Notamacropus eugenii: one gene and its partners. The protein of the gene in region 2 interacts with the protein of the main gene of each other region in a pairwise test. Links are inferred from orthologs where the notes say so. Each region holds a gene or a part of one and is shown on either strand. Other genes may lie near its edges.

Region 1 (7,897 bases), on a different chromosome or scaffold from region 2:
AAAGTCTACAAAGGATTTATATTGTGAGAGTTCTAGTATGCATTTAATGTGATAGCTATTAACATATAGTGCATGCTGTCAATTATACTGACTCTAAGAAGTAAGACATAATAGGTCCTAATTGCCAATAATATTTCCAAGAATTCTTTAGAAATGCTTCCCTGACTCTCATCCCCATGTGGAGTCTACATTATCATTTTAGTTAGGAAGGTGAATACTTGCAAATAAAAACTAAAGGTTGGAATTCACTTTACTTTTCAGAAAACACTGTCCAGTTTGGTAAATTTTTAATAAATCCTGAAGGACAATTTTTAACAGTCTCTGCAATTGCTACCAATTTTGAATGAATTAACAATTGTTTAAATGACAGTCCTGACCATTTTCACCTCTAGAGCTGTTATCACAGTCGTATACCGATCCAAATCAAACAGTTGTCATCTCCACATTTAACTTTTAATTGCACAGGTTCTAACTATTCTGTAAAGTTTCAAAACAATATGGAGATTTAGAGAACAATGAAAAATAGTCAGAAATCTCTCAGTGGAAACAGTCTAAGATGACATAAGTTCTATTTCTAATGGAAAAAAAAACTAAAAGCAAGAAACTTTGTTCACTTCAGTGATCTATTTAACAAGTTATTTTAGAAGGCTTCTTTTATAGGTTTATGGGTGATTATTGATTTTTGAAAATCTCCTATGGCAGGTATTTGTGTGAACTATAAGTAATTTGTATGGAAACAGTCACAAGTAGTTTAAAAAACAGAAAAAAATCCCAGCTGAACACATGTGGTAGTGTAGACATATTATGTATACATCCTCTGAGTTTTCCGTTTATAACTGCAGATCGTCATTGCTACATGATATGCACTACATCTAGGTTATTACAGATACATTTACCTGTATATTAATAATGTAAACAGATGGTAATGAGCTATCAAGATTTGGGGTTATATTACCAATTCTAATTAAGACCTCTTACATCATGGGATGTCTTTCAAAAATATTTGAGTTGTTAATATTTTCAAATCTGTCAGCAATAATACCAACACTATTGATTACCATTTGCTTATTTAACCAGTCAGTGAGAAGTGCATGCCCCTGAGTGATGGCAAAAAGGAAACATGAGCCAGGAGTAAAATGTTAAGAGATTCTAGCTTTAGAATTTGGGGGTTGCAGTTAGGAGTTTTTAATTAACTCAAAAGGAGATAATTGAAGAAAATACAAATAAAGCTGACAGTGGTAAAGCTTGCCTACACATAAACATAGAATATAACCTTTTAATATGTAACTACCTTTTATAAGAATCATTTAACTGACTTACAAATCAGATTGCCAGTATCATCTTCATAACATGCAGTTACAGTTAAAGAATATTATAGTTTAACTCTTACTCTGTACCACATAGAGAGCTGTTACTCTGTTGAATTAAGAAAGTATTTGCTACTTCAAACACTAATAATTTCTATGATAATTAACAAATCTGTCTCTGTTTAAAAAAGCATTCTTCCCAAGTAAAATGTTAACATTTTGAGGAGTTACTAAATTCAAGTGAAAAAATATTAGAACCCTTCAATAAAGCCATTAAAGAAGTTCAGCCATTTAAATGAGGATATCTGATCAATAAATCCCTCAGTGGGAAGAAAAAAAGAAACCACTGCTAAAGTATATTTTGTGTTCTTTTAATTTTCTTCGTAATTTCAGATTCTGCACCCTAATATATAACCACATTCAAGATGTATTTTACTCTCAGTACTCTTTTTTCATCTCCCATTGCTCACTGATTTACTGCAATCTTAAAATGTTTTAATCTTTGTCTTTCTTTTTTCGCCTTTTCATATCAAATTCAGTCATTTGAGCGATGAACAGCTTGACTTAGCATATTTTTAACCAGCTGGTCTAGCACCTAGCTTGCATTGCATAGTCAGATACAACAAATGTTTATACAGAAGGTAGCTTTCATGAAAATGAAAAAAAATATAGCCTATGTATCATGCATCCTGTCTTTTTTTAGATTAAAAAAAAATCACCAAAGAGAATGCAAAGTTTGAATTATTTTAAATGGCAAACAAGATCCTATTTATAGTTTTCCCCAAAAATTGAACTTGTGGTAGAGTAAGAATAAAGAATTTTTTAAAAAAAAAATTACAGTATATATTAAGAAGCACACGAAGAGGACTAACGTCTTTGAAAGCCCAACTCAACTTGAAATAATACAAAACTAAAGCAGCTAAAAATAATTTCTCAATAGTAACAACTTAATTCCAAATACACATGCTCCTGTCTTGGCAAAAGAAGGAAACATCATAAATCAAAATTGAGCTTTCGACAGCCAGTGCAAAAAGTGTCCACTAAAAGTTAGGAATCATCAGTGTTTAACTTTTTTGACACTTAAAAAAAAAGGACCTTCTGATGGATTGTTGTGATGTTAACTTGAGTTTAAAAAAAATGCACACCCTGTTCCCTTATATCAACAAAAGGTCATGTGCTTTATGGAGCTACTTCCAAAGTTTTGCAGGAACTTAAAGCCTCAGTTCTAATCATCCTCAAATTCCTCTGTCATCCCAGAAATTACATCTTAGACGGAGATGCTGAAAATGTGGGTGCTTTGCATGAAAAAAGATTTAGAGGAAGAAAGGAAGAGATGAGAGGGGTAGGATGCTTAATGTTCATTAAAATCTCTGTTATAGGACCAAACCTAAAATCATCAAGACCAAGCTTAGGGACTTTGCAAATTCCTTCAATTTGGTTCAGAAAACAACAAGATTCAGTTAACATATAGATTCATAAAAGCTTCTCCGGCAAGCATGATTTTTAAAGAGCATCTCACAACTGATTCTAAGCCTGTAAAATGGGAGAGTTATACTTTCATATTTTTTTAAAAAAAATAACATCCAAAACAAAACAACTCAACTCACCTTTCAAACTCCTGAGGTAAATCAGGGTCAGTTAGCATGCTGGAAAAGCACAATTTCCCTTTGTCACAGCAGCCACCTATGATCGTCTCCAACTGAACCTGTCAAGTGAGTCCAAACCCTCTAAACCAATTGATTCTCTCCTCTCCTCTCCTCTCCTCTCTTCTTCCCCCCTCTCCCTCCCTCCCTCCCTCAATCTCTCTCTCTCTCTCTCTCTCTCTCTCTCTCTCTCTCTCTCTCTCTCTCTCTCTCTCTCTCTCCCCTCTCTCCCTTTTTTCTTCCTCTCTCCTCTCTCTCTCTTCCTCTCTCTCTCCCCCTCTCCCTCCCTCTCCCTCTCCCTCTCCCTCTCTGTGAACTAGGACTCCTTGACCAGTCTCTTAAAGGGGTAGCACACTTAGCGGCACAGAGTGTTTAGAAAGCTTCCCCCACAGCTGAGCAGCACGCTGCGGCTGCTAGGCACTAGACAACCTCAGGGTGCCTGTCCTTTCCTTTTAATTCTATCATCCAGTCATCAGAGAATGTGAGAAGTCAACTCATTTAACATCCCCCATACACACTCTCCCCCATGAATAAAATGCATACACAAATAATATTAATCAAGAAAAATGTATTAGCGGTGGATTAAAAGAGAATCTATAATACCAGCCCCCCGTTTAAACTGCAGTTGTTAACTAATTAAAGAAAAAAATGGAAATGTTAGCAATAGTATTTTTTACACATGCACTTCTTATCCCCCCTTCTTGGCTTTCTCTTCGCCCGCACACGGAAGCACACACTCACACACACTCTCACACACACATACACACACAACAATCAGGCATTGTTCTGAGGGAAGAAAAGCAACTTTGACAGATTGAAATATAGCAGAGGCCCCTTCAAGGAAACCTGTAAACAACTTGTCACTCACTCTGTCCGTCTCCCTGTTAGCTCTTGCTTTCCACAAAGTGGTGCGAATGTCCTGGCAACACAGCCAAAGTTTCCTCAGCTCCAAACTCCATAAAACATCACTGCTGTGTGCAGGGGAATAGGTGTCCACATCCCCAAATAACACACGTGAAGGAAACAAAAATCACCCCCTGGACCTCCAAAGAATAATAACTTTGGATCTGTTCGGCTTTTGGGTTGCTGGGGGAGGAGGTGGTTGAGAGCAGGGAACAAGGCTAAGTTCCTTAGCTGTGGATCTCTTTAATTTCCTCTGCCCAGGCAGCCACAGATAACAAGGTGGACAAACTATGGTTTTACAGATTCTAAGCTGGCTGGCAGAGAACAGCCTCCATAGCAGTTCCAATTATCTAGATAAAAATCTGGCAGATGAGGAAGGTAATCAGGTAATGTACCTTTGACACGAAATGACAGGGGCACATAACACACACACACACACACACACACACTACACACACACACACACACACACACACACACACACTCACACACTCACACACACAGAGAGATGGTGACTATCCCCGTGCACTGCAGCATCTGGTCAGAGTAAGCACACCCTCACAAACACAAGACTGTGCATTCTCATTCTCTCTCTCTCTCTCTCTCTCTCTCTCTCTCTCTCTCTCTCTCTCTCTCTCTCTCTCTCTCTCTCTCTCTCTCTCTCCTTCTTTCCCTCCCTTCCTCTCTCTCTCCCTCCACTCCTACTGGGAGGGTTCATTCTGCACAAAAGGCTACATTACAGAGTCCGCCCCAATAAGGGAAAGAGAGAAAAAAAAAGCCTTCCATTGTTGAGAGGGCAGGTCAGTTGATTAGATTTTCTGTGGAGAATTCCACGAGGAAATTCCCTTCAAAGCCGAAGTGATTAACTGGGGGCTATTCTGGAAATGGAGCAGACAATGGCTCAATAGTCTGCACAGCCAATGTCCAGGCTGGCACTGAACTCACTTTAAAAAAAATAAAAGCCAGACTCCCTGTTCTTTTCCAACAGCCCCCCCACCCCCCACTCCTTCCAACTTCCCCTCCCAATTCCTTTTATTTTGCAGCTGGACAACATTAAGGGCCTTTAAAACCACAAGGGTTGACCCCACAGTGGTTTGATTAGGTCCCACTTTTTTTTTTCCTGGCGACAGGCAGACAGCAAGTTTACTTTTTTAGACATACACAATGACACACGCACATTCACATACCCTCTAAAATAGCAGCTATCAATTTTTAGCCTTTTTATACGGATGAATTTATATTTTAATTCCACCTTCTACAAGCCATTGATATCATAAAAAATCATTGAAAGGTTTGGTAGTAATAAATATAGTAGGATACACTAATCATACTTTATCTTTTAATTTTCCTCTTAAATAAATCTTGCAAAAAGCATGCATATATATGTGTGTGTGTATATGCATGCATATAGATGCATATATACCCCTGTTTGTGATAGCTAACCAAAATTAAATTGGATTTAAACATGCTGTTATATAGTTAAAGTACTAATAACAAAAAATACAGAATTATCATCTACTTTGGCAAAGCAGTTAACCTGAGATGTGACAAAAATTGATGATTATATGTTTTTCTGGTGGGGTTAGTTAAAGGAAGAGAAAAGGATGGTGGTGATTGTTACTATAACAGTATTCTTTTTAGCAATTAGTCTCAAATCTTTTTTTAAATGAAACAAACTCTTCTGGAAAGATAATCTTATAGCAATAAAGAGTTTAAGCTATTTTGATTTATTAGTTTTAAGAATCTATATTCATCTTGTTCAGAATAAGGCTAAAAGACAGTCTTCACTTTTAAAAAGCTTAGAGAAACTCAAAACTTCAACAAAATGATCTCCTTTTGGGAGCAGGAAGCAAAATATAACGAATTAGGGGTGTGGGTTACATAAATAATTTTCTTTAAAAATAAGGTTGTATAAATTTGCTAATTTGGGAATCTTGTTTCATTTTTTAATATTAGTAGAACAAAGCAAATAAAAGGGGGTATAGGTTACAGTGAGCAGGAGGAGCAAGTCAGGAAGGGGAAGGAGGAGGAAAGAAATAAGGGGGAGAGCAAGGAGACATAGTGCAGTATAAAGATAGAAACAGAGATAATAACCAAAAGGCAAGCTGCTTAGTTGTGTATGGCCCCAGCTTGTTCTGTCTTACTACAGCTACCACCTCTGGCTGCATCTGCAACTCTAATCTAAAAGGTCAGCAGGATAGGTAAAAATTAAAAGTTCTTATGAGTCTGATGCAAACTGTGTTTTAAAGGCCTGATGTCTCTCAGTATCTCTGGTGTCCTAAGTTTTCATATTCAATAAAACACCAGCCAATTTTATTTGTTTAACATACCAAAGATAAATGTGAGGAATTCTATGAATGAGTGTTAGGTGTCTAAAACATTGTTAAGTCCCTAAACTATTATTATAAACATTGCCTAGCAAGGGATTTACTTCTTATCATACTCAGGGTCTTAAGATGGGCCTGGAATATAAGTATGCTTAAAAGAAACCCCTGTATAATTGACATTTTAGGATAAGAATTGGACCTACAATTTCATTAATAAAGGGAAATCCCAGATGAGAAACCTCCTTCTATCAATACAGGCGAGCATATTTTACACATTAAAATCTTAGAAAATTACTTAGAAAACAGAGGTTAAGTGACTTGACTAGGCAAGGGTCATATATATCAGAGATAGGACTTGAATTTAGGTCTTCCTGGTTCCATGATCACCTCACTATCCACTAAGCTGTCTTGCCTCTCAACATAATCGTGATAGCATTTCACATTTATATAGCAGTTTCTAAGGTTCTCAGTTTCATATCTGCTATCTTATGTGGCAATAGAAGGTATGTAAAGGTAAGTGTTCTTACCCTTAATTTGAAGATCAGGGAAGTTGGAGACTATGAAAGGAATAACAGTTTCCTCACACAGCTTCCTGATCTGGGGGCATTAAAGGTGCCAGCCTCACGTCACTGGTACATCTCAGGCTTGCTTGGTGCTGACACCATGTGAGATTCTGTTCCAATCGGCCACTGACTAAACACATTTCCAAATGGAGATGATGAGGGCTGTGTCCAGAGAAGCTCAGTACCCCTGTATCCTTTTGGCACAGCCTTGCTATGCTAGACAAACCAAGTAAGCTTCCTCCTTTATTAAACGTTCAGTGCCTTGTGAGTACCTCATTTTGTCCCAACACTGAACCTGAATTAAGAGGGTGCTGGTTCTAGAGCCATGCCTACAACAAGGACAAATATTTTTCAGGTGACTATCCAAAGCCAATCAGCACCTTAGTGGCTATGTTAGTACTTGGAGTCAAATCTTTTATTCATTTCTCTTTTAATTTTGAGCCATGTTTTGTTTTTTTTTTAAGCACAGAATTAATTAGTATTAAATGAGATCCCCAAGATGGTGCTGGGTCCCTTTTAAGGAGTTTTCACCTTATTCACGCATAGTGCATTTTAAAATCAGATGCTTACATTGGTGCTTATATACAATACTGCGTGCAGTAGGTATACAGAATAATGCTAACATTCTACTCCAAACTAGCATGAGACAATTTTTGCCATTTGAGTCCTTGGAAAGCAAATTGGTGTTTGTATTAGATTTTGGAATGATTTTGCTAGAAGGGCTGTAAACATCAAAATGTTCTAGTAGTATTTTCTTGGATAATGACACTGTACTGTCCTAGATAATCCAAATAATTTCTCATTTGGTATATAAATTATTATTTATAAATGATACTCCTTAATATTATCAATAATGTTCAAGTCACTCTTCAAATAAATAGGTGAAACATTCTACAAACAAGTAGACAAATATTCAAGATACTTTATAAACTATATGCATATATATATACATATGCATATGTATGTATATAAAAAAAAGAGAATATTCCCTCAATTTCTAGAGAAATCTTAGTTTCATAAATTGCTATTTTAAAACAATACCTGAACTATCACATTTGCTTTAGAGTTCTCCAAATCACAAAGTCAGAATTTCAGACTTGTAAAGTACTTTGGTAGCTATGAAGTTCAAACTATTCAAAAGTAAATTTATACTA
Region 2 (7,902 bases):
CTTGGGAGTGCCCAGGGGTACGGCTCAGGGTATGGTCCTTCATTGATGTTCAAGGTAGGAGAATATCCTTGAATTCATCCTTGCTGAATAAAACTTCTCTTGTGGTTATTATAAGCGTGGGTGTGAGTTTGGACAAGAAAGACAGGCCTCAAGCTCAGGGTGGGGGACAGCACAGTTTCTAGAAAGTCATAGGATTCATCAGCTTGATTGACCAAGAGAGGGCCAGGTGGCCTAAGAACCCAATGAACACCACGGATCCAGGACCTTACCTCAAGGTGAGAAGAAGCCTGTGCCTCTGTCAGGGGGAAGCCCACCTGGATACCCTGTAACCAGGTACAGTGGATAGAATTTTGGATGTGGAATATCTGAGTTTGCTGTCTCAGACATTTACTAGCTGTGTGACCCTGGACACTTAACTTCTGTCAGACTCAGTTTCCTCATCTGTAAAATGATATTAAAGGCATCACTGACGCTGATGATGTAGGTGTTCCAACAGAGAGGTATGCAGCTGTCCTGGGCCTGACTACTTTGGCCATGGTATTGGTTATGACTGAGATGTCTCAACCCTCCCAATTCATAGGATTTAGAGCTGGCAGGGATCTAAGAACTCACCTAGTCCAACATTGTATTTTATAGATGAGGAAACAGAGGCCTGAAAAGATCAAGAACCTGTCCAGGTCACACAAATAGTAAGTAACAGAACCTGCACCCAGGCCTTCGGACTTCACAATCAGTGCTCTTAATGGAAATCACCCTATCTTGCAACTGAGCCTACAAAGGCTGCCTCGCCGAGGAGTTCTCTTGTCTGCTAGCTGATGGAGAGGGGTAAGAAGAAGGGATCCTAGCCACAGACGGTAAGAGATGGGAATGGGGGGCTGGGGGTGGGGGCTCCCACTCAAGCAGTCACTTCTGTTGGCAGGTGTCCTGTCTCAGCTCCACTCCAAGGATTTCTTCATCAGTTTTTGTTAACTGGGAAAAGGCCTCTGGAGGAAACACCTTACTGGCTGTGTTGGCAAGGGTTGGATGTGGTCAGATCAGCACCCCTATGTTCCACTGCACCTGGCTTCCATGGGTACATGAGGGTCTTGCCTTCGAGTTCCAGCTTTGACTACTCATGACATTGCTGCCCCTGTTTTCTCCTCCCATAGATCTCTTGTTGTACCTTCGGTTCTCTCCCCCAAACACACACCTAGCCAGGGAGATGCTGGGATCCATGCCTCTGACAACTGCCTTCTTGTGCAGTCAGACACAAGCAATTTCTTTAACCAGTGGAGGGGGCCCTATGCAACACATCTCTAATAATTCTTCTGTTTCATTTTTGGCTCTGACCCGATGAGCTTCAACTCTGTTGAATAAACCCAGCCATCTCTTTGCTCCAAAGTCCACCAACCCTCTGTATGATTCCCATCTGATCAAGGTCTGGGGAGGGGGGGATTTCCAGGAGAGTCCAACCAGTCAGGCCCCTCTTGGGGACCACAGAAATTATTATATGCCATTACAAAGCTCCCAGTCTTAACTTCACTTACCCTTCCAAGAGAGCCCAGAGAAATAGACAGCAAAGCCCAAGAACAAATACCCAAGGAGTCCAATAATCAGAGACTGCAGAATGGAGCATGGGGGGGGGGGGGGGCGCGGGGAGGCGGGAATCCACCTCCTAGACCTTTCCAGGGGCAATGGAGCAGTTTTCTTACTTATTTGCTGGGTTTGGAAAGCTTTCATCCCAGCTCTGTGCTGGGATTGCATTCTGTGCCTTTACATGCCTGCTGCTGCTAAAGTTCAGAGGTGAGTCTGGGAGCAGTCTTGGACCAGTCCCTCGACACCTCGGGGCTGCTTCTCCACACCGTGCACTTTTCGAACGACCCTCCTTCTTCCTTCCCCCCAGAGCTCTGGGATGCTGACAATTTGCTCCCACTGCTTAGGGAGAAGATTAGGTTAAGGCTGCCGGCTTTATGGCTGTGGTGGGCAGGGAAGCCGCAAAGACAAAATACAGAATAGGAAAAATGATCACGGCAATCGGGCAGCGAAGGGGGCCCTTAGTGCCTGCCCTTTGACTCCAAAAGAGGAATGCACACTCACTCCACATGCACACACACACACCCCACACCGCACCACACCACACCCTCCCGCCCACCCTAACTATATAAAGAAGCCCTCGAAAGCCCGGACCAATATGAGTCACTGGGCTCTCAGCCTGGATGATTCAAACGGGCAGAAATGGTTCCTACTGTACATCCTTCAACAAACAGAGCGTGGAGTGACGCCTTCTGGGCTAGATTACTTTTCATTAAGGCCAGGGAGAAGGGCGAACACGGCGGGTCGGCCCTTGGCACTGAGGCACACTCGCGTGCCTGCTGGCCCCTGTCCGGTCATGCCAGGAGAGCTGCCATGCAGAGGCAGGGACAGTGCCGGGATGGGATGGGGAGGCATGAGAAGAAGGAGCCCAGTAGGGTAGGGTGGCCTCTTCAGCCTACCTACCGTCCTCCTTGTCCAACACCATCATCTCCGGCAGCACGAAGTGTCCGAGCGCAGGCGTTGCGTCTCCAGCCGCTGCAGCCTCCGCTCCGGGGACGAGAGGTCTCGGCTCTAGGAACCGAGATGAGCTAGAGCACAGCGGACAGCCCTTTGGCAGCCAGTGAGCTCTAATTACCCGGTTGTCCAGCTCTTAACCTAGATTGCACTCAGCTAGAATTACATTCAGAAGTGAAGCACTTTGCAGATACAAAAGCAGTCTCACCTACTTTTTTGTGCCTCAGAATTGCAAGAGACTAGGGGCTGCAATTTAGAGAGGGAGAGGAGAGAGTAGGAGGGAAGAGAGGCTCAGAGTTTTTCTTTGATTCTCACCTTCTAAATGGCTCAATTTGCCCAGTATAATCTGTCTTAATGTAACTGCATTTGATAGCTCATAACCCTGGCTCTCGCAACTACACAGCTCTGTCTTATAAAGTGCTTTCCCCTTAGATTTAATCTGAATCTAAATCTAAAATTATATTCAAAGAGATGGGAGGGGAAATATCGGAGGCTGGCTACCGCTGCCTTTCTCTCTCAATTTATGAGGTCTGCACTCTTGCTACTGAATAAATGCGCACATTTCCCAGAGACAGCCCCCCTCCTCCCACACTACCCCCCCTCCCCAAGAGTTTAATGGGGAGTGGAAGGCTGCCTGGTTCTCCAGCACCACCTACAGGTCTCTCTCTCTCTCTCTCTCTCTCTCTCTCTCTCTCTCTCTCTCTCTCTCTCTCTCTCTCTCTCTCTCTCTCTCTCTCTCCCTTTCTCGCTCTCTCTCTCCCTCTCTCTCTTTCTCGCTCTCTCTCCCTCTCTCTCTGTCTCTCTCTTCCTCTCTCTCCATCTCTCTTTCCATCTCTCTCTCTCTTTCTCTCTCTCTCTGTCTCTGTCTCTCCCCCCCCCCTCTCCCTCTCTCTGTCTCTTTTCCTCTCTCTCCATCTCTCTCTCTGTCTCTCTCTCTCCCTCCCTCTCTCTCTGTCTCCCCATCACTTTTGGCAGATGTTTCAGGACCAGAGGTGCACTGTAACCCTCAGCTATATAAGAGAGGCACATAGCCTCCAGCCCCTTTCCTGTCCCACTCCACTCCAGGGCTGCATGTTTATCATCATAAAGTCACCTTTTCTTCCAGCCTCAAGAGTTCATTCCCTCTCTAGTCAAACAGCAACTCTCCAACCCTAATGGAATGTGCAACTCACATTTCATAGGGGGAGGGGATTCCACCTAGAGAGGGGAATGATTTGGTCAAGGTCACAAAATCAGGTTGTATGAACTAAGATTCAAACTTAGGTCTCACAGCTTCTGGGCCAGGCCTCTTTCTAACACACATTATGCCAAGTTTTGGTATTTGGTGTCTGACTTAATCTCTGAAAGTAGGAATTAGTGATTGGGGCAGTGCATGTACCACCTTTCCCTTTTCTCTGCTCCCCATCTCTAAAACTGAAAGAATAGTGGAATAACCCAGGTCTTTGAAGGTCACCTTTCTGACAACAGGTCCAAGTCCTCCTAGTCTATACTATGGTTCTAGAACTTGGTCTAGAGTCTTATTCTGACTTCCCAAGTGGTTTCTTGGGCCATGCAAGTTCGGCATAAGGTTTAAGTCTACTCTACCTTCTTACATTTGGGGAAAACACCACTCTACCCCCATCGTCTGCCCCCAAATTGGGTTCAAACCAGCTCTGAATGACAGATTAGACCCACAGCAGACCCAAGCATACTGCAAGTACTCTGGCATTTTTTTTTTTTTTGGTAATGCATATTGACAGAGAGATGGATATTGAAAATTTCTGAAGAAACAGGTTGTCTTAATGAGTGGAAAGACCCCAGGTATAGGAATAAGGAAACCTTGAATACTGCAATTTGTCTGCAAAACAAGGATAATATCTATCCTGATTTCACCATAAGGTTGTCGTGAGATTCATATAATTTATCACATATAGTATATGAAACACTTTGTAAACCACAAAATACCATTCAAGTGATGAAATGATTTTTAGCAACAAAGGAAAACTAGAGCTGTAGATCTTCATTGAATAATATGGTTAACAAAGTACTTTTCCTCATGATAAACCTATGATGCAGGAAATGCAATGATTATTATCATCAATATGACAGAAAAGGAAGCTGAGGCTCTGTGAGGGGAATGTCTTGCCCAGGGTCACATAACTAGTGTTGATGCCAGCATTTGAACTCATATATTCTTACTCTAGGATCAGTAGCCTTTTCACTAGACCATGCTGTACCCCACCCCATGCCACATCTGCCTTCATTTCAGGGGCTCTGCCCTCTTTGGTCCAAGCAAGGAGGTGAGACTTTTGAAAACAAAAGGAAGTTCAGGCAATTCCTCTCTACAACCTGCTTTTAATTAGCTTCCTTATCCACAGCTCTGATGCTTTCCCACTTCCCCTACGTTTTGAATGCTTAATCCAAAGAGTCCTTGGATATATCTGAAGCTAAGTAGCTCATTTGGCACAGAATAGCTTTCAGCAAGGACTCTTTCCCTTTCCTTGGTGACAGTTTGAAGAGATGAGCAATGTGCCTGATGTACCCAAAGATAGAGAGCTGCCCTCAAAAGGTATTTAATTCTCACCCATTAAAGGGACTCCCAAGCCACAAATTAAGAAAACTTTCCATCCACTACTTATATGCCTCCCCAAACAAACAAAAATCATGGCATGGCAATAACCCAGAGCCTGGAATTTCATATTCAAGTATATCCTTTCAAAAAATATTCAGCATTGAACCCCCTCCCCCCCAATCCCAAAGCACATTCCTGACATATCAACAATCATCCATGATTTCCAAGGCCAGAGTTTTTGGTCCTCTGAGTGACCAATCTTGAGTGGAGTGTTATTTCTTTCAGATATTCAGCCTAAAGTTTCACATCCCAACCTTCAGACATTCACTCAAAGCTATCATTCCAGTACCATCGTTTTCCTTGTCCACATTATTTGAAGAAGAAATTTCCCTCCTATCATGGAATTAGGCTAGGATTTTTTGTTTTCTAGTTTCTTTGTTTTGCTTGTTTTCTTTTATTTCATACCTTTCCACATATGCTCAACACCCTAAGAAGTTCATTTTCAACATCATATTCCTCCTTAATCTCCAAGATACCTAATTAGTAGTCAAAGAGCTAGAATTCCAATAATTAATCCATGAGAGCTGGACAAAATATCTAAACACTACCAGGGCAGGAGTTGTGTGAACTGAAATCCCACTTGCTGGGATTTGGGGAAAGGAGGGGAAGAGAGGACTGGCAGCAGTGCCCATCCCAGCCCATCCCCTGGGGCTGCAGGACAGAGGGACTAAAGTTGGATTGTCAATCTCCTTCATTGAGAAGGTCTACCCTGGGGGGACAGACACAACCAGATGCCGTAGAAAGAACAATGAATTTGCTATTGTTAAGACCCAGGTTAAAATCTTGATTCTTGGTAAAATCCCTTAGTCCCCTGAGCCTCAGTTTCCTCCTTTGTAAGATGACAGGGTTAAGCTAGATAAGCTCTCAGGTCCTAGAAAGACTTGTGACTGAGAACAAAAGCTCCCATTCTTGCTTCCCCAAATTCGTGTATCTGTGGATGCTTTGGTGTTGCTGATCTGGAATCATGTTTCAGATATCATATCGGGTTCCACTAGAGGGAGGACCCTTGGGTGTCCCCCAAGATACACAAAATGAGCCTGCATTGCTGATATAGTCCAATGTGATTTCACAACATACAAGTCACATCACGTATCCTGCAGACTTCTTGGATGGCTCTCTGCAGCCTACCATGCAGTGGCCTCAACAGTCTCAGAATCCCTATTAAGGCAGAAAAATTATATCACATTGGGTCAGGAAAGGCAGTTTTTTCCTGAAGTGTCCACTCCAACAATAATGACCTAGCACTCACAGGTAGCCAAATGTTTAAATTGCTGTCCAGAGGGGCCTGTGCCTTATAGGAGAACTGACTTGTGGATCTAGTACTGAAAAGAGAAGCTACACCAACAGAAAACTGCCCCATGTCTGGTGGTAGCAGTAGGAAGCAGATGAACTAGTCTCTAGGGCCTGAGGAAGGCAAGAAAGAGGTTAGGACAGGTGGTAAGGTTTAGGTTTAGGTGGTAAGCTCCCTGTCAATGGAGGTGTTCAAGCCTATGTTCAATGAATATTGTCAGAGATGCTGTGAGACAGACTTCTGTACTGAGGCAGAGGCTAGAGTAGAGTACTTCAGATGCCAGGATTATATGACTCAGGAACAAATAGACAGTATGGTACAGTGGAAAGGACATAGGAAATACAATCAGCGTTAGTTGAAAGTCTTGCTGCCTTGTGACCTTGGGAAAGTCACTTTTCTCTGGGCCTGTTTCTTTGAATACTCCTTTCTGTTCTAACATTAGGATCCTATGATCTGGCACCAAATGTTGTCATGGAAATTAATATGGCCTGAAGCCAGCACCTCTGAGCTGTCCTCACATCTCACCCCGTAAGTCTGGGAGCATCGGACTTAGCCTAAATAACTCTAGGAGCTCATAGTCAATATGGCTAAGAGTTCCACAGGGAGCACTCAGAGCCTGAGGCCTCTCATGGGCCTGGAGAATGCCTTTTCTCAAATCTCACATCCCACTATAGACTGGGGTAAAGTCACTGAGGGCTTCAGCTGCCTCCCCCTAGAACAAGGCAAATACGTAGGTGCTACGTGTGCACACACATACACACACAAGCATTTTGCCCCATAAACATAAAAACTAAGAAATTCTCATGCTGCAAACTGAGTTTTGGGAAATTTACGTAGATTGGGATTTTTAAAACTAGCTTAGAGTGAAAGCACATAGATACAGAATGTTCCCAGATTTTCTGAGCCTTGTGTGGAAAGTAGACTAGAACAAGAAGACCGATGTTCTGCTGGCAGCCCCAGCTGCCTTTGAGGGCAAAAGAGAACACAGCCCTAAGGAATCATCCCCAGCTCCTCTTCCTTTCAAGCAACTGGCATTTAGGTGGCATTGGAGACTGAGAAAGGTAGGTGTGTGTGTGTGTGTGTGTGTGTGTGTGTGTGTGTGTGTGTAACCAGTCCTCTTTCCATCACACCACTTGCAAGACCTGGTGTTTAATGACCACATCTGTAATACTGAGAGAACCAATAAGTCAGTCCTCCCCTAGCTAGCCTGTTTCCCTCCCATTGCTGACCTGCACCTACTCTTGTAGCTACAGGTCAGTAGACCTGAATAGGAACAAAGAATTTAACAGTCCTTAATTTTTGAACTACCTAACTGTGCCTGCCTGCATCCCTACTAATCAGAAGTAAGAAAGACAGCACATCATCCGGCTTATAACCCATTAAGAAGTCCTATGCTTGGTAGGTCCAGCAGGGCACAGTCAGGGGGCAATATCCTAAAGGCACAATGCTCTGCAATCTTTCCAGGCAAGTACCA
Region 3 (7,050 bases), on a different chromosome or scaffold from region 2:
TATAATTGATACGTGCTTATTTCCTCATCTGTAAAATGGTGGTAGAGATAAACTTGAAGGCTTCTAACGTTCTTTTCAATTTTAAATTTAGAATTCTCAAACTCAAACTCAAACAACTCAAACAACCAAAGCAGGGCAAAAATGTTCTGTGGCAGAAAAGCGTTGCCAGCCTCCTGGGTCCTTGAATGACCAGTAATAAGGTTGGTCTACAAAATGCCTTCGTTTTAGCAAGGTGCTTGCCTTCCATGTCCTTTCCTGTGCTATGTACACATTCTATCTTTTCTACTCTTTTTTGTTTCCCCAATTCCTAATGGCCCTCTTGCCATCCATTCAATTCGATGAATATTCATTAAATGCCTACTGTGTGCAAAGTATCGTTCTGTGTGCTTGGGATACAAAGATCAAAAAATAACTACCACCACCCAAGTCTCTGCCCTGAAGAAACTTAGATCACTACTGTTAACTCTCATAGGGAGATTTCCTAGTTTCTGACTACATTCCTAGAACTTAAACCAAACCTCTGCCTTGCTCTGCTCACGAGTATTTGTCTTCCTGAGTCCCATTTGTCTCTTCACCTTCTGGAGTACTGCTTCATTGATCCTCACATTACAGCTAGGTCCCCATTTGTCCAAGTAATTCAACATGGCATATTTTCATTGGGCTGGAACCAAGGACCATATTTTACAGAATTAGAACTTCAAACAAGGTAAATTTAAATATATGGGACCACTTCTGGCAAACCGAAAGTTGTGCAAGCCTGCCCCAGAGTCATGTGGTAGAGGTAACCTACTTCTACTCGGTAGCAACATATCTAAATGGTAGTTTCAGAATGATTAGGGAGTGAATACATCTATATAAAGGCTTGAAAACATAAAATGTTATAAGGTAACAGTATCTCACAATTCTCATTCGCATGTACCTTTATACTGGTAATAAGAGAAGATGAGCAGGGCAAGTTATGTGGAAAAATATATTTCGTGGATAATTAGAAGGACAGTCCTTTCTTTAGTCTTATCTTAAGCATATTAAAATACAAACATGCCATAACATCTAAATTTAAATAATGAAATCAGATTTTTACAACTCTCCCCTATTAAATAGCACTACAACATAATTTCCTTTCCTCCAGTTATAAAATCAAATGTTTGCATGTCTGTATGTTGTACAAAAAAGAAAGTCAAATCTACCATATGAATCAAAAATATATAATCATCTATATAATAAATTAGTTCATCTATAAGTTCTTCATTAAGTCACATTTCCTATTTCTAAAAAAACCACAGTGTAATGGAAAGAGCTCTGGATTTAATAATCAGAAGACTTGGATTCAAATTCTGGTTCTGGCACTTACATACCATCCATATGACCTTGGTCCAGTCACTTGGCCTCTTGAGAGGACTGGATCAAAATTTATCTGAGGTCCTTTCCAGGTCTAATGAAAACTCAAGAGAATTTCTCACCAAAGGAGTTTCACTGAGTACTTCCCTTCACCTACACAAATACAAGTGTTCTTTTCTTTTTAATGTAGATAAACATGGCTAATTACCATTCATTTAGTTCTTAAATATATCTCTACAATGTAATGCCTGAAAGAATATACATTAACTATGGAGGATAAAACCTTTTCCAATGGAAATATTTTTATTTAATTTGCTTAAAATGCTTTGAAGTATGTCAGGTTCTCTTTTAAGAGCATGCACATTCATACAAACTAACATGAATAGAAGAATTTAGTCATAATAAAAAATAATCTTTTCTGAAGGACACTGAAGAAGACAGCGAACATGAAATATGATCAATTAGACAACACTAGAGTAAGCTCTTGTCTATAGTAATCATTCACTATGGTGAGGAGGGCAACACAAAAGCATAAGGTACATGGTCATCCCTTCCACACCGCGACTTTCCCCACCGTGGTTTCAATACATCATGGGATGGTATAAGAAATTAAATGGGAACTTTTGTAGAGTTTTGTAGAAGCTGCAGAGGACACACAAAGGCCAGCAGATGACACAGAGTCTATGCTTAAATATTTAACTCAAACTTTACAATAAGGCATTATAAATACCCTATTAAAAAAAGAAAAAAATTCATACTTCTCTAGTACAAAGAGAGGGCCAAGATTTTTTCTACAGATTTTCCAGATCCAGAAGGTGCTGTGCCCCTACTCTGTCCATTCTAGAAACCTCATTAGTTTGTCATCTCACAAACAATTACAACTTGTGATTCTTAAGAGTACATTAGCTAGTCAGATAGATTAATTTGCATTTTTATATATTCTTGGGCCCTGGTGAAGGCACAATACGTGATAGTACAGAAAAGATGAGAAACAGAAGAAATGAGAGAGGTACAATGAAGATATTCAATTCTTCACCTCCACCCCCAAAAAAGTATTTTTGTCCCTTCAAAGTCTATGTAATCTATAAACACCACCTTCTCAGATTAACACAGTAGAAAGAAGACTGAATCTGGGGTCCCAAGTTGTGGGTTCAAATCCCAGTTTGCTATTTGCTACTTATGTGACCTTGAGAAAGTCATTTTACAAGGTCTCATTTTTTCATCTATAAAATATAAATATAAAATTAAATAAATAATATAATATAATATAGAAATATAAAATAAAATATCTATAAAATCATTTATAAAATCTATAAAATGGTTGGATCTCAAAAGTCTCTTCTAGCTTTAAACCTAAGATGCTTGATATGAAACTGACCTACCTCCAGGTACTTCTTTCAACCTTTTCAATGATTTTAGCACCTTGATCCCTGTTTCTTTTTCCACCTAACTCCCAGTACTCATCATTACTATTCATGTTGAGGCATTCTGAACACATAATTCCTCAACCTGTTCAACTAATTTTTTTCAACTGAAGTCTGAAGAATTTATCATTTGCCATCTCACTGTACTGTACACAACCCACCTTGGAGACCTTGACCTTCAAAATTCCTCTCTCTGATTGCAATCTTCTGTTCTTCTCCCTCTCCCACTCTCATTAAAATGAAACCAGCTTTTCATCTCTTTAACTTTTTAGAGCTACAAGCAATTCTCTAAGACAATAAGTTGCCAAATCGTTCCCTAACCCCTACCCCTTACTCCCCACTCCGAGAAATTTGGGTCTTTCATTTCTGCTAATCCCCATGCTTGGTAAGGCTTCTCAATCCAATTTCCCTGCTCTTGTTCCTAGCCTGCTGAGTAATGCTAAAGGAAGCCATGACACTGAGGTGATGTCACCCATTAAAAATTTGTTATAAAACAGCTGGGCTCTCATTGCTCAACAATCCTACTCTCCTTTTGACTCCCTATGTCTTTTTAAACCTTTTCCTCATTCCTTAAGTGCAACCCCACCCATATTTCTAGTACTCTTAGCAGATGACAATCTCCCACTTACTTTACTGAAAAGATTGAGGCCAGCAATTGTGAGCTCCCCAGCCTCCAGAGTCTTCTGGTCATTACGTAACTACTCAGCATCATCTCTGGCTCTCTCTTCCTTCCCTCTAGTCAGAGGATGTGTTAATACCCTTCATTAAGGGTATTCCCTCTATCCGTACCTCCTACCACATGATCAAGGCCTTTACTTAAACAATCACTTTGTATGTCCCTCTTTCCCACACATCCTCAATCTCTCCTCTTTATTGATTCCTTAACAATCTACCTAGAAAAATATTCTGGTCTCCCTAATCCTAAAAAAAAAAAAGTTTGTTCCAATCATTACTGTTCCATTTCTCCCTTACCCTATAGTACATATTATTTTGGTGGGGAGTGGGGAGAATACAGTATCTAAAATGGTCTCAACTTCCTCACTCCCTTGAAATCTAGTTTATACATTTACATTTCTAATGAAACTTCTCTGAATGGTCACCAATGACCTCCCACTGGCCAAATTCAGTAAGTATTACCATCCCTTACCACTTCTTGACCTGTCTATAACATACAACACTGTTAATGACCCTGTCGTTTGGAATACTTTCTCTTTCAACACTTCAAGCACACAAGCTCAAACTAGTTTCTTTTCTCTCTCCTTCCTAGGCTGTTTTTCCTCTTTCTGGCCCCAAAAGTAGGTATTCTCTAAGATTCTCCCTTTAGCTCTCTCTTCTATGCTTTGTCCTTTGGCAAAGGAATTCAGTACTCTTCATCTATCTGTACCAGTGGTCTCCAAAACTTTTTGGCTAGTGGTCAAGCACACAACAACGTATGTATATTTACTTATTTGTAAATTATATGACACTACTGTACTCAATTTTATGCATTATAAAATTTACATACACAAAAACAAATAGAAAGGATGCGATAAAGATGAAATATTTGTAAAGTTAAAGTGGGCAAGATCCACTAGAGTTTATTGAGTAGGGTAGTGAAATGATCACACCTTCAATTTAGGAAAATCACTTTGACAGCTATAGGTTCTATGAATGCAGAGAGGAGAGGCAGGAAGTCCAATTAGCAAATTCATAATAGATTAGACAAGATGACGGGGCCAGAACTAGGCTGTGTGAGTAGAGAAAAGAATCAGCCTGAGACACGTGGTGAGAGAAACAAGATTAGACAAGTGACTGTATGTGTGAAGTAAAGGAACATGAAGAGTAGATGACATTGATGTTGTGCAATTGGGCAACTGGAAACATGGCAGTGTTCTTGAAAATAATGGGTGGGCTTCAGGTGGAAGGGAAGGAAGATAACGTATTGAGATCTATGATGAAGATCACTACACACCTATGCCCACCTGTTCTGTGCAAAAGACTCAAAATGAAAAAGAGAACGGCAAGGATTTCATTCAAGGGTCACTGCCTAGGAATACGGAGACTGTCACAGTCACAAGGTAATCTGGGGGGAAGAAGGTGGGTTTCCTTTTGGGGAAGTAGTTGATTTTTCCAATAGCACTTAGCCAGGTGCTACTATGGGTGCCTATGTTGAAGATTAAGTTATAACTGTCCTGAAGAGCCAAAACTAGCCTCAGAAAGGGTGAAGATGGAAGCATGCACAGCAGAAAGAAGAGGCAGAGCAGGGTAGTGTTGGGGGTAAGGGTAAGTGTGGTTCTGTTGGAGAGATCCCATGATTGAACACTGAAAGGCAGGTGGGATGCCATTCATCTTCTCCTCCAATTGGAGGATTACACATCTCTTGGGATCAAGCCATTGCCTAAGTAGGGATCAATCTACAGTCTCCATTATGGAGAGCACTGATGGACACAGATGACTCCCACATCTCATCTCTTCTTATCTATATCCCCAATTGTCTATGGAACTCTTCCAATTGAATATCACAGTAGCCTTTCCAAATCAATGTGTCCAAAACCAAGTTCAACTTTCTTACTAAATCTACTCTTCCATCTTTACTACTTCCATCCACAGCACTAACATTCACTAAGTCTCCAAGAGATTCTTATGTTGAATTAGTTACCAAGTCCTACTGATTCTTCCTCAGTAACATTTTTCATATCCAACTCCTCACCTCCCAAATACAGGCTCCCATCACCTAGCAGGATAACTGAAATAATCAATCAACATGAATTCTCTTCTCCTTTCTCTTCCCCGTCCAGACTATGACCCTTTATATTACTGCCCAATTAGTTGCCTTTGTACATAATTCTAATCATATTACTCATCTGATCAAAAATCTTCAGAGGCTCCCTACTTCATACTTCTCTACCTATGTATCAAGGCTATCTACAATCTAGGACCCCCTGTCTTTCTAGCTTTATCTCATGCTACTTGACTACAAATACCCTAACATGTAGCCACATTGTAGATTTCTCTGATCCTCTGGATTGGGCTTTCCTTTGTACCATTTACTATACCAAGAACAGAGACCCTTTTCAACTGTCCAATGCCATTCCTTCCATGAAGGTTGTCCTGATCTTCCCAGTCATTAACAATCTTTTTCCTTTTCAATTTTTTCAGTTCTTTATTAGACTTTCAAATACATTTTGCATAATAGCTGTATACATACTAGACTGTACAACTCGACTGCATATTTAATGCTCAACTAAACCAAATGCACAGATTGGTAAACTGCAAATAATAATGTCAAAAACTAATGACTGAGATTACAGCAAAATAAATTATTAAATAAAAAAGATTACTACATCTAGAACTACAACAACAAACTTGTTTCCAAGAAACTCTGTAACTCAATTCACTTAGACTGAATGTGAGCTTGGTTCTGTGACACTGTATACAAAAGAAGTATATAGCAGAGTTTCTAACTAAAAGAACTTATCTCTGAACAAAACAAAACTAAGATACATGGAAAAGTATATACACAGTGAAGGGGAAGAGAGTTCTAATAACTGCAGAAGATCAGGGGACCACAAAGGACCACATGAGGGCAAACCTGGAACTAGACCTAATGAATAAGATTAATATGAACATACAGTAGGATAGGGAGAATATTAGAGATAGCAAAACAAAATGAGGAATGGTAGAGAAGCATGAATTCATCCATGCAATAACACCTCTTCTTTTTTCTTTGTATGTGACCTAGGATTATATTGGTATAGAGAACTCCCAGTGAGGAAACTCCCTCCTTAAGGATGCAGATGGGCATTTGCTCTGTACCTTACAATCTTAGAGAGTTTCTTGGAGCACCAAGAGAACAGTGAAGAACAGTGGGATAAAAAAGATATTTGGAGTCAGATAGGTTCAAATCCTTCTTCTAATCTTGGCTACCTTGGGTAAATCACTTCACGTCTTGGATGAACTTCCTCATCTATGAAAGGAGAGGGCTGGAGACCCTTCCACTTTTAAAGGCTATGATCCTATACAAAGATTTTTTTAATTACATATGTATTTTCCCCCAGCAAAACCAACCAATGCAACAACTGTTTCTCTAGTACATGCAATTTTATACAACTATAGTCTCCCAGTCTCCTGGAGAGAAAAGGGAAGAAGAATATACAAAGATATTTAAGACAGTCTCTCCCCTCATGGAGAGTCCAATCTAGCAACAGGAATAGGACATAAACAAATGTATAATACTATACAATAACCATTATTGTTTGTCCGTTTCCAAAGAGGACCAATGACATCATGGTGGTGATTGTCTTGACTC

The links.
Region 1: the proteins of LMO1 (region 2) and SOX5 interact in binary tests that used the Homo sapiens proteins (3 or more experiments, as listed by UniProt). The two-hybrid records come from large-scale screens. The link is inferred for Notamacropus eugenii from reciprocal best matches to the Homo sapiens genes LMO1 and SOX5.
Region 3: the proteins of LMO1 (region 2) and PTPN3 interact in binary tests that used the Homo sapiens proteins (3 or more experiments, as listed by UniProt). The two-hybrid records come from large-scale screens. The link is inferred for Notamacropus eugenii from reciprocal best matches to the Homo sapiens genes LMO1 and PTPN3.

The regions. Positions count from the first base shown.
Region 1 is NC_092874.1:181,994,884-182,002,780, reverse strand, and holds the start of SOX5 (transcription factor SOX-5), read right to left. Parts: upstream 3,049-7,897; 5' UTR 2,953-3,048; coding exon 2,915-2,952; intron 1-2,914.
Region 2 is NC_092877.1:37,385,449-37,393,350, reverse strand, and holds the start of LMO1 (rhombotin-1), read right to left. Parts: upstream 3,037-7,902; 5' UTR 2,501-3,036; coding exon 2,476-2,500; intron 1,381-2,475; exon of another isoform or gene 920-1,380; intron 826-919; exon of another isoform or gene 637-825; intron 1-636. UniProt on the Homo sapiens protein: May be involved in gene regulation within neural lineage cells potentially by direct DNA binding or by binding to other transcription factors.
Region 3 is NC_092874.1:313,227,117-313,234,166, reverse strand, and holds the start of PTPN3 (tyrosine-protein phosphatase non-receptor type 3), read right to left. Parts: upstream 3,066-7,050; 5' UTR 2,997-3,065; coding exon 2,924-2,996; intron 1-2,923.